2 linked regions of the Callithrix jacchus genome follow. The protein of the gene in region 1 purifies or fractionates together with the protein of each later gene. This does not show direct contact. Links are inferred from orthologs where the notes say so. Each region holds a gene or a part of one and is shown on either strand. Other genes may lie near its edges. The genes, in order: FNDC3A and TENT5C.

What was found.
Region 2: the proteins of FNDC3A (region 1) and TENT5C purify together in Homo sapiens (affinity purification with western blotting; 3 studies listed by BioGRID, with this or other methods). This does not show direct contact. The link is inferred for Callithrix jacchus from reciprocal best matches to the Homo sapiens genes FNDC3A and TENT5C.

The regions. Positions count from the first base shown.
Region 1 is NC_133502.1:66,784,811-66,788,446, forward strand, and holds the end of FNDC3A (fibronectin type-III domain-containing protein 3A), read right to left. Parts: intron 3,262-3,636; coding exon 2,947-3,261; 3' UTR 731-2,946; downstream 1-730. UniProt on the Homo sapiens protein: Mediates spermatid-Sertoli adhesion during spermatogenesis.
Region 2 is NC_133508.1:155,644,120-155,648,412, forward strand, and holds the start of TENT5C (terminal nucleotidyltransferase 5C), read left to right. Parts: upstream 1-1,472; 5' UTR 1,473-1,505; coding exon 1,506-1,601; intron 1,602-4,293. UniProt on the Homo sapiens protein: Catalyzes the transfer of one adenosine molecule from an ATP to an mRNA poly(A) tail bearing a 3'-OH terminal group and enhances mRNA stability and gene expression.

The sequences.
Region 1 (3,636 bases):
CCAGGTTTCTGAAGTCCTGTCTGAACATTTGTCAAGCAAATTAACCACTGAAGGCTGAAACAGAAGAAAACCTTCCCAAATGTAACAGGCTTCTGGGACTTTTCATTCATCTGTTATGAATGACAGCAATGGGCAAAGCTGAACAAAAATGTGATCCTTCATCACTACTGGGAAGGCTGCAAGAGCTAAGCATGGAGTAAAGGAGAGCTTCATGGTAGCCTGCCTGACAGTGTTCTTAAAACTGGTTATCCTTTAATAGGACTCATATGATTGTCCTCAACCTAGACCCTGAGTTTGAAGCTGTGTACTTATTTCTTGATTTAAAAAAAAGTTGGCTTTTTTAAACATTGAGTTCTTCTTCCATATTGGCTTCTGCAGTAAATTTTTCAATGATCTTTTTTTTATTGCAGTAAAATATGTGTAACATCAAATTTGCTAGCTTACCTATTAAAAAAAAAAAAAAAAAAAAAAAGGCAGAGTCCCTGTCCTGAGGAGGAAGTCCTTGGGATGGAAATTTTCATGAGCTGCATAAAAATCAAGTCACTAGGATAAAACTTCTAATTTCATTCTTTTCTGGACTTAATATAATAAATATGCATCCTCTCATGTTGAAGATTTGTATACTGTTGGGGAAAATGCTTTAAGCTCACTGAAAGAGGGGGGACTGTAACATTTCATTTTCTTAAACAGGCAGTAAATAATGAATGTATATGAATACAATAAACATATCTCAAAAAAGAATGATACAACTTTTATTTTCCATGGATTTTAAAGATGCTTTTACTACACAGTTTATGTATTTTTATGAGATTTTTTTTCATTTGTATGAAGTTCAGCCTTACACAATTTTAAGGTGATATGTTTGGTAGTGTATCTATAATCTTTAAAAAGTTTGGAGTTTTTGGAATGTACAGTATATGAGGTAAAATCAAGATTACATTAAAAATTGTTTTCTCCTCTGCACTAATTTTGCAGTGAGGCTCAAATGGCAAGTATACTATTAAATGACATTTACTATCAAAAATAGGAAGTTCATTTGAATTACTATGAAAAACATAAGCCACTGTAACTTGACACAGTGGCACATTTTACCGTTTTAGACATTCAACTATATATAAATCTCTGGGCTATTATACTCAGACTCATTTGTACTGCCAAATGTGGCAATTTAAAGAAGTTTCTAGAAAACAATCGCAATCACTGATGTTTTGGGGGAAGGTTATCACCCTATACATAAGAGATTAAATTTAAATAAAATGTAAACATACAGAATATTATAGTGACAGGTCATTCTTACCACTTAGAAAGGCCAAGTTTATCCATTTCTTTTTTGAACAAGGGTTAATGTTTTTCTACAGCACAGATCATTTGACATAAAACAGTTACAATACATGCCCATTCTATTATAAAAGAAATTCTTCAGAGATCTTCAAATCACAAAACATACGTTCTTTTTTCAAGGACTGACAGAAGTGCTTAATAATCACTAAAATGCCAACTTCAGCAACTAAAAATTAGTGATTCACTATCCTAAAATTCAAATAATAAATTAAAAAAGCTAGTTACACAGGTGTTTTACAGATAACAGATGTGCTAAAACAAAGAATTGTAGATAGTTGCATTATAAACTGTATTATTACTGGCAGTCATGGACATCTAGGCAAGATGTACAATGTGACACTTGACAAAATTCAGTCTGATCATCCAAAAGCTCACAAATGCAAGCTCACAAAACATTAATGAATTATGCAATTGCAAAGTGCTCTAATGCAACATTAACCACATGCAACCAACAATTTGGAACAGTATCCAAACAGACATTATACATTAAACGTTAGTTTTCAAGAAAGAAAGCAGCTTGAAGTTTACTGGTGCAAATGAATGTTGTCTTCAGATTTGGTGCCCCAAACAAAAAGGTTAGGTTTGATTATGAATTCTGATGGTGGTGGCAGCAGTTATGGGAGAAGCAGCAAAAACTTATGGGAGTTCTTCAAAATTAGCCTATACCAGACGAAGTGAGTGTATGTGTGTAATATGAATCTCTATACTTGGTATGTGTGTGTGTGTGTGTATATATATATATGTGCCATATATGCACGTGTATACCCTTATACATGTACATATAGTGCAATGGTTCACAAAACAGAGCCAGATAGGTTTGAAATTCAGTTTACTTTTACGATTACTTTTAAAAAAGTATTTAAAAGCCCTCGGTTCTTTTCCATGTTCTCAAGACCTGAAGAGGAACTTTCTGAGTAAACATCAAAATATTTTTAGGCCAAGTAAACTGTCTGTGCTTTCTTTAAGTACTTATCTGTGAATTCTGAATATATATTTATAATGAAGAACTCCACATTTATCAAAGCTTTTCTTCATGCATACTCTTTCACCCAGTTTTTGTTTCTAAGCCCCTCCAGCTACTCATCATAATCCCACTTACCAAATAATTAAGACAAATGAGGAGGTAGAAATATAGCACTAGATTGCTTTCACAGCATCAGACTTTAACATTTTATATAGGATGTTAGTGTAAATTCTATTCATTCTGAATTTTTCACTTGGTAATAATCTTTAAAACAAACAGATCAGGTTATCACTGTTACACTCATGCCGATTGGTCAAAATATCCATTCCTAAATTGTTGCCTCTTAGAAAGTTTTTCTATAGAAGGCATGTTAAAAAAAAAAAAAGAGAGAGACAGAAAGGAAAAAAGAAAAGGAAAAGACCCACCCTAACAAAAAAACAAAAATTGATATTTTTGTGGCTTGCATTCTAATAAAGTGCCAGCCTCTACCTAACAATATAAGCACTGAAAATGGCAAAAATGATGTGCTATAGTCTCAATGCCAGTGCTAAATGCCACTGTTTTTTATAAAAGCAATACAGAAATAATTTTAGTACATGACAAAATAAAATGTAATAGAGTTAAAAAATAAAGTTATATTTTCACTTGATTACAAAGTACTGAATGATAAAGGCAATCAAAATGGAAAAGAAAGCAAACAGCACAAGGATGACAGCAGCACACTGCTCGTCACTCAGTGCCCGTCGGGTCCTTGTGCTTTCCACAGTGTCTCTGTTGGTGCTGGCTGGTGGTTCAGTCCTCTGAGAGATGAAGAGCACTGTGGTGCTGTAGGGACCTACAAGGTCCTGGTGTCCCAGAGAGTCTTGGCACTGGCGAATGGCACATACACGGAAACGATATTCACAGTTCAGCTGAAGGCTGGAATACCGGAAGTAAGGGTCGGGACCTTTGTAAATCTGTTAATAAAATATTAGAAGGAAGAATTATGTGTGAAGAAGGCTGGACAGAAAATGTGTTAAAACTGGCTAGTGTTAGAATTGTTTTTGATGTGAAAGCCGGTGAATGTCACTGATTTTATCTTTCAAATGACATATTAAAAATACCTATCCATTAAAGTACTTAACCGTCTGTTGCATAGGGGCAGGAGAAATCTGAAAAGTGAGGACGTGAGATCGACCTTTATAGGATTCACAGCTGAGTTAAGGAGTGCACATGTGCCCGAGGGCAGCTAGAGAACAAGCAAAATCAGTCCTTAAGCATTTTCCTGTTTTCCTCAAATGTAAGAAATCATTTTTAAATGAAATCATTCCATCAAAAAGGGATAGTGTCTA
Region 2 (4,293 bases), on another chromosome or scaffold:
ATCCCTCCCCTAGCCTCCCCCGTCCCACAGGCCCAGGTATGTGATGTTCCCCTCCCTGTGTCCGTGTGTTCTCATTGTTCAACTCCTACTTAATGAGTGAGATCATGCAGTGTTCTGGTTTTTCTGTTCTCATGTCAGTTTGCTGAGAATGATGGTTTCCAGCTTCCTCCATGTCCCTGTTAAGGATGTGAACTCATCCTTTTTTATGGCTGCATAGTAGTCCATGGTGTATATGTGCCACATTTTCTTTTTCCAATCTGTCATTGATGGGCATTTGGGTTGGTTCCAAGTCTTTGTTATTGTGAACAGCGCCACTGGGTGTGGTGATCCCAGCTACTCAGGAGGCTGAGGCAGGGGAGTTGCTTGAGCCCAGGGGATCAAGGCTGCAGTGAGCCGTGATCTCACCACTGCACTCCAGCCTTGGCAATAGGGTGAGACTTTGTCTCAAAAAGAATGAAATTCATTTAAATAAGCCTATTTAATCTGCCATATCAAATTTTATCATATCAATATATAATCAGTAGAATTAATATAAAATATATAATCAATATAAAAAAATCTAAATGAGGTCGTTTACATTCCTTTTATCATATTGCGCCCTTGGTATCCAGGATGTGTTTTGCACTGGCAGCGGTGCCTACGTATTGGGAAGCACAGCTCTAGCAAAAGTGTTTCACTCTCAAATTCTCATTCTTCAAGTGTGGGAGGCAAGAGTTAACAACCCAGAGTTACAGAAGGAGAATATGAAGCGGGATATAAGCTCTACAGCGGTAGGGATCTTTGTCTCTTCCTTCCCAGTGTATCACAAGCTCCTGGAGCAGTGCTTAAAACACGGGCATGCACATTTTTGAAAGAGTGATAGGAAAGTCCGTTTCGGCTAACTCACTGACAGTCATTCACCCTCTGCGTCAGACCTGACGCGAAAACGTGGTGTTTGATTCCTAGCCCAGTGCTCATTCTTTTGTTTCCTTATGGTTTCTTAGAGAATAATAATAAGGCAATAGAATTTCAAGGAACTGCTGATAAAATCTTCTGAGACTGGCAGGGGACCAGGACTCAGTTTATCAGCAATTAAATTTTATTAGCAATTAAAATTTGAGTGAAATTGCAAGAGGAAGTCACTTTGAAGTCAAAGGTGTTTGAGCTGTCTAGTGACAGCACATTAATTACTTGATAAATGCTGAACATGGGGAGGAGGTCTGGAACCTGCAACTTGAACGGTAACTCCTCAAGGAAGGACCCATACGGAACGGAAACCGGGACGGAGCTGTGCACGTAGTTAGCACCTGCTCTGAAGTGGAGGTCTGCTCACACTTAGACACTTGTGAATGGGGTGTGTTTATGTGTCTAATGTATGATAAGGGTGGCATTTGAGGAACTAACAGTTGCTTGTCCCTTTCCTGATAAGACCCAGGCAGGGAAACTGCTAGTGATTAGAGAGGACTTTTAGCTGACTGAGACCTTCCTTTTGGACAACTGTTTAAAGCTCTAGGCTGGAGAGTTAGATGGTGAAGTCGCCTGTGGAAGCAGCGTTTGATGAAACCCAGAGGCTGTCGGCTCTTAAAGCTTGCGGATCGTGTGTAAACGGAGTCATTCTTACAGTAAGCAGTCTCCTCCTTGGAATCATTCTGATTTTTCTCAGTCTACGCAATCTCTAAATGAGAAAGGCAGATTCTCTTCGGGGAGCTCTTTAAATGAATTCAGACCGGCAACACCTCTGATTTAGAAAGAAGCATTTGTTGGTGGGGTGGTGGTTACCAAGTAGCAGCAGGGATTATTTCCATTTCAAGTTATATGTGTAGCAGTTAATGCTGACACTTTGGAAAAAAATCAAGGCTTTTATGCCCAGCTTTCATCTGAAGAAGTCTGTGTCCTGACCTTAATATTTCCATTTAGCACGTCACAGTATTCCTTTCAACACTGGACCCTGTGTGGCGTCCCTGTTGTCCTGTCTGGGCCACTGTTTTGATTCTGTTTGCTGTTTTGCAGCCACAGCATTGGTTCCTGCAGCCTTATCTCACCACCCACACTTGCCTCAGCATCCTATTTTCAAAGGTGGGAAAGAGCTTTCTGTTTGCGGTTGTCGTTGTGTGGGTGTCTGTGGACGGAGCCCAGTGACAACCATTCAGACTCTGTTGGCTTCTCGCTTCTCAGTGCTAAGTGGGCATTTATGGAGGCCCCTTAGACCCTAACAGCCGAGATCGCAGCCTGGTTCTGTGGCCTGCCTGGGTTTCAGTCCAGGGCTGCTTTCCACAGCTCGTGCTGCGTCCCAGTTGCTGTGGGAATCGAACCAAATTTTTTGACTCTAGTAAACATCACTGGTAAGTGGCTGGTGGATGATGATAACCTTGAGAAAACAGAGCGAGACTCTGGCTGAACGCGATGGAGCTGAGAGTGAGCAAAGACCGACTGTGGGGTTCAGGGTGTCACTGACTTAGACGTGTTTTCTCTGGGCACAGCTCTGTGGTCTGGGGCAGTCACTTCTCTGAACTCAGGTAGAATGTGATGTGGGCATTTAAGTGGGCAACTGTGAAAGTAACATCTTGGAAAAATAGTGAGCATAGGATATATTTTATTGGCCTTTTAAAAAGTAAAGCATTATTTTATCTGGTGTTATTGCTTCAGGCCATTCATAATCTAAGCTCCTATTCCATGTACGTGAAACACTCGAGTGGCTGCTATCTGTAACCTTTATGTGTTTGGGGCTGTGGCGGAGTCTCCAGAATGTGCCCCCCTCTCCAATTGGGGGGTCTGGCCCTAGGAAGGAGCTGGCAGACAAAAGACTTCTTCAGGCTGTCCCCAAACCCTTCCTTAGATAACTTGTGGCCCTCATCCTCCCTAGGAATTCAGGGAGTAAGAAAGGCTTTTTTTTTTTTTTTTTTTTTTTTTTCAGAAGACCATATTCATGTTGAGCCTAGTTTTTCTCCTTTCTGGACATGCCAAGCAAAATGACCAATGTCTATGGTCATTCACAGCAGCTGGCTCTTTTCTTAAGGTTGAAAGAATCTCCAGGGTCAAACAACACGCAGGTGGGAGAAGTGACAGGTGTCCCGTCTGAGGCTCCGCATTCGTGAGGTCCTGTGTCGCCTCCAGACCCTCTGCTTTCAGTTTTGTTCCAGCTCTCCTTTCTGGGCTAGCCCTTTAAGTCCTGGTCACTCCCTGCAAATTTATCAACCATTTCTCTGTGGCTGCAGTTGGGTCACTGGCTTCTTTGATCTCAGAAGGTTGCGAGTGTCCTGTTCTGTTGCTTCGTCAGCCTATCAACACTCTGATCTCCCAGCCATCAGAGCGAGTCTCAGTAATGGTTCCTTTAGTCCATGAGCAGAAAAAACAGCATGCCTTAGTTTTCCGGATCGGGACAGTCCATTCCTAACAATCTCCTTGGGCCATTAACTTTTCCTCTCACTACTAGTTCAGCACCTTCCACTCTTGGGTTCTCTCGCTCTCCTGGTCTTAGATTCTGGGAAACCACTGCCCTGCAACTTAGCCAGCGTCTCGGAGCTCCCTGGAAAGTTAGGACCCTAGGCCTTCATCTCCTAGCCGTTGCTCCTTTAAAAGAAATATTAGCATAATGGTTAGCATGTCTACACTTAATCATATTCAGTTCTGCTGGCTCCAGCTCCAGCTCCAGCTCCAGCTCGCAGTTTCTGTGCTGACAGTTGTTAGATACTTCAGTTCTAAATCCTTCTCCCTCGTTCTCAGCGTTTGCCATCTGGCCTTACCTCACTCAGGTGGCCTTAGCATGTCTAGCCAAAATTCTTTCCTGCCATCTTATTTTTTTTAAAATTGTTATGCCTTCCTTCCTTTTCTTTCTAGTTAATTGCCATCTCCTTCTGGTGACCACCTAAGCTAACCAGCTCTTCTTCAGGCTCCCGCCCCACCAAAGGTGTCCACCTTTTAGGAAGACTCTTGAATTCCGTGTCTGCTACTCACCAGAAGTGCATCCTTGGACAGTTTACAATTTTCACACACTCTTTGCTCTCCAGTTTCCCCATGGGGGGTTGGGGGGAATGGTATCTCTTTGATAGGGTTGTTACAGGAATCAAATGATTGACCCAGATACAGCCTTGAAAACACTGTTTTGCTCTTACTTGTGATGTTGTAAAATAGTTTGGGGGCTCATTAGGGTACTGGCTAAACCTCTGGTCACATTTGGTGTCTCCTGGCCATGGCCTTGGCTGCTACTATGTGAAGAGCCCTTGGAGGGCGCCGCATGTGTTAATACCTGCCAGGGAAAGGGTGTGGGCAGAACTAGACATTCATGTTATCAGTTGATGTGCACCTGCACTGAGA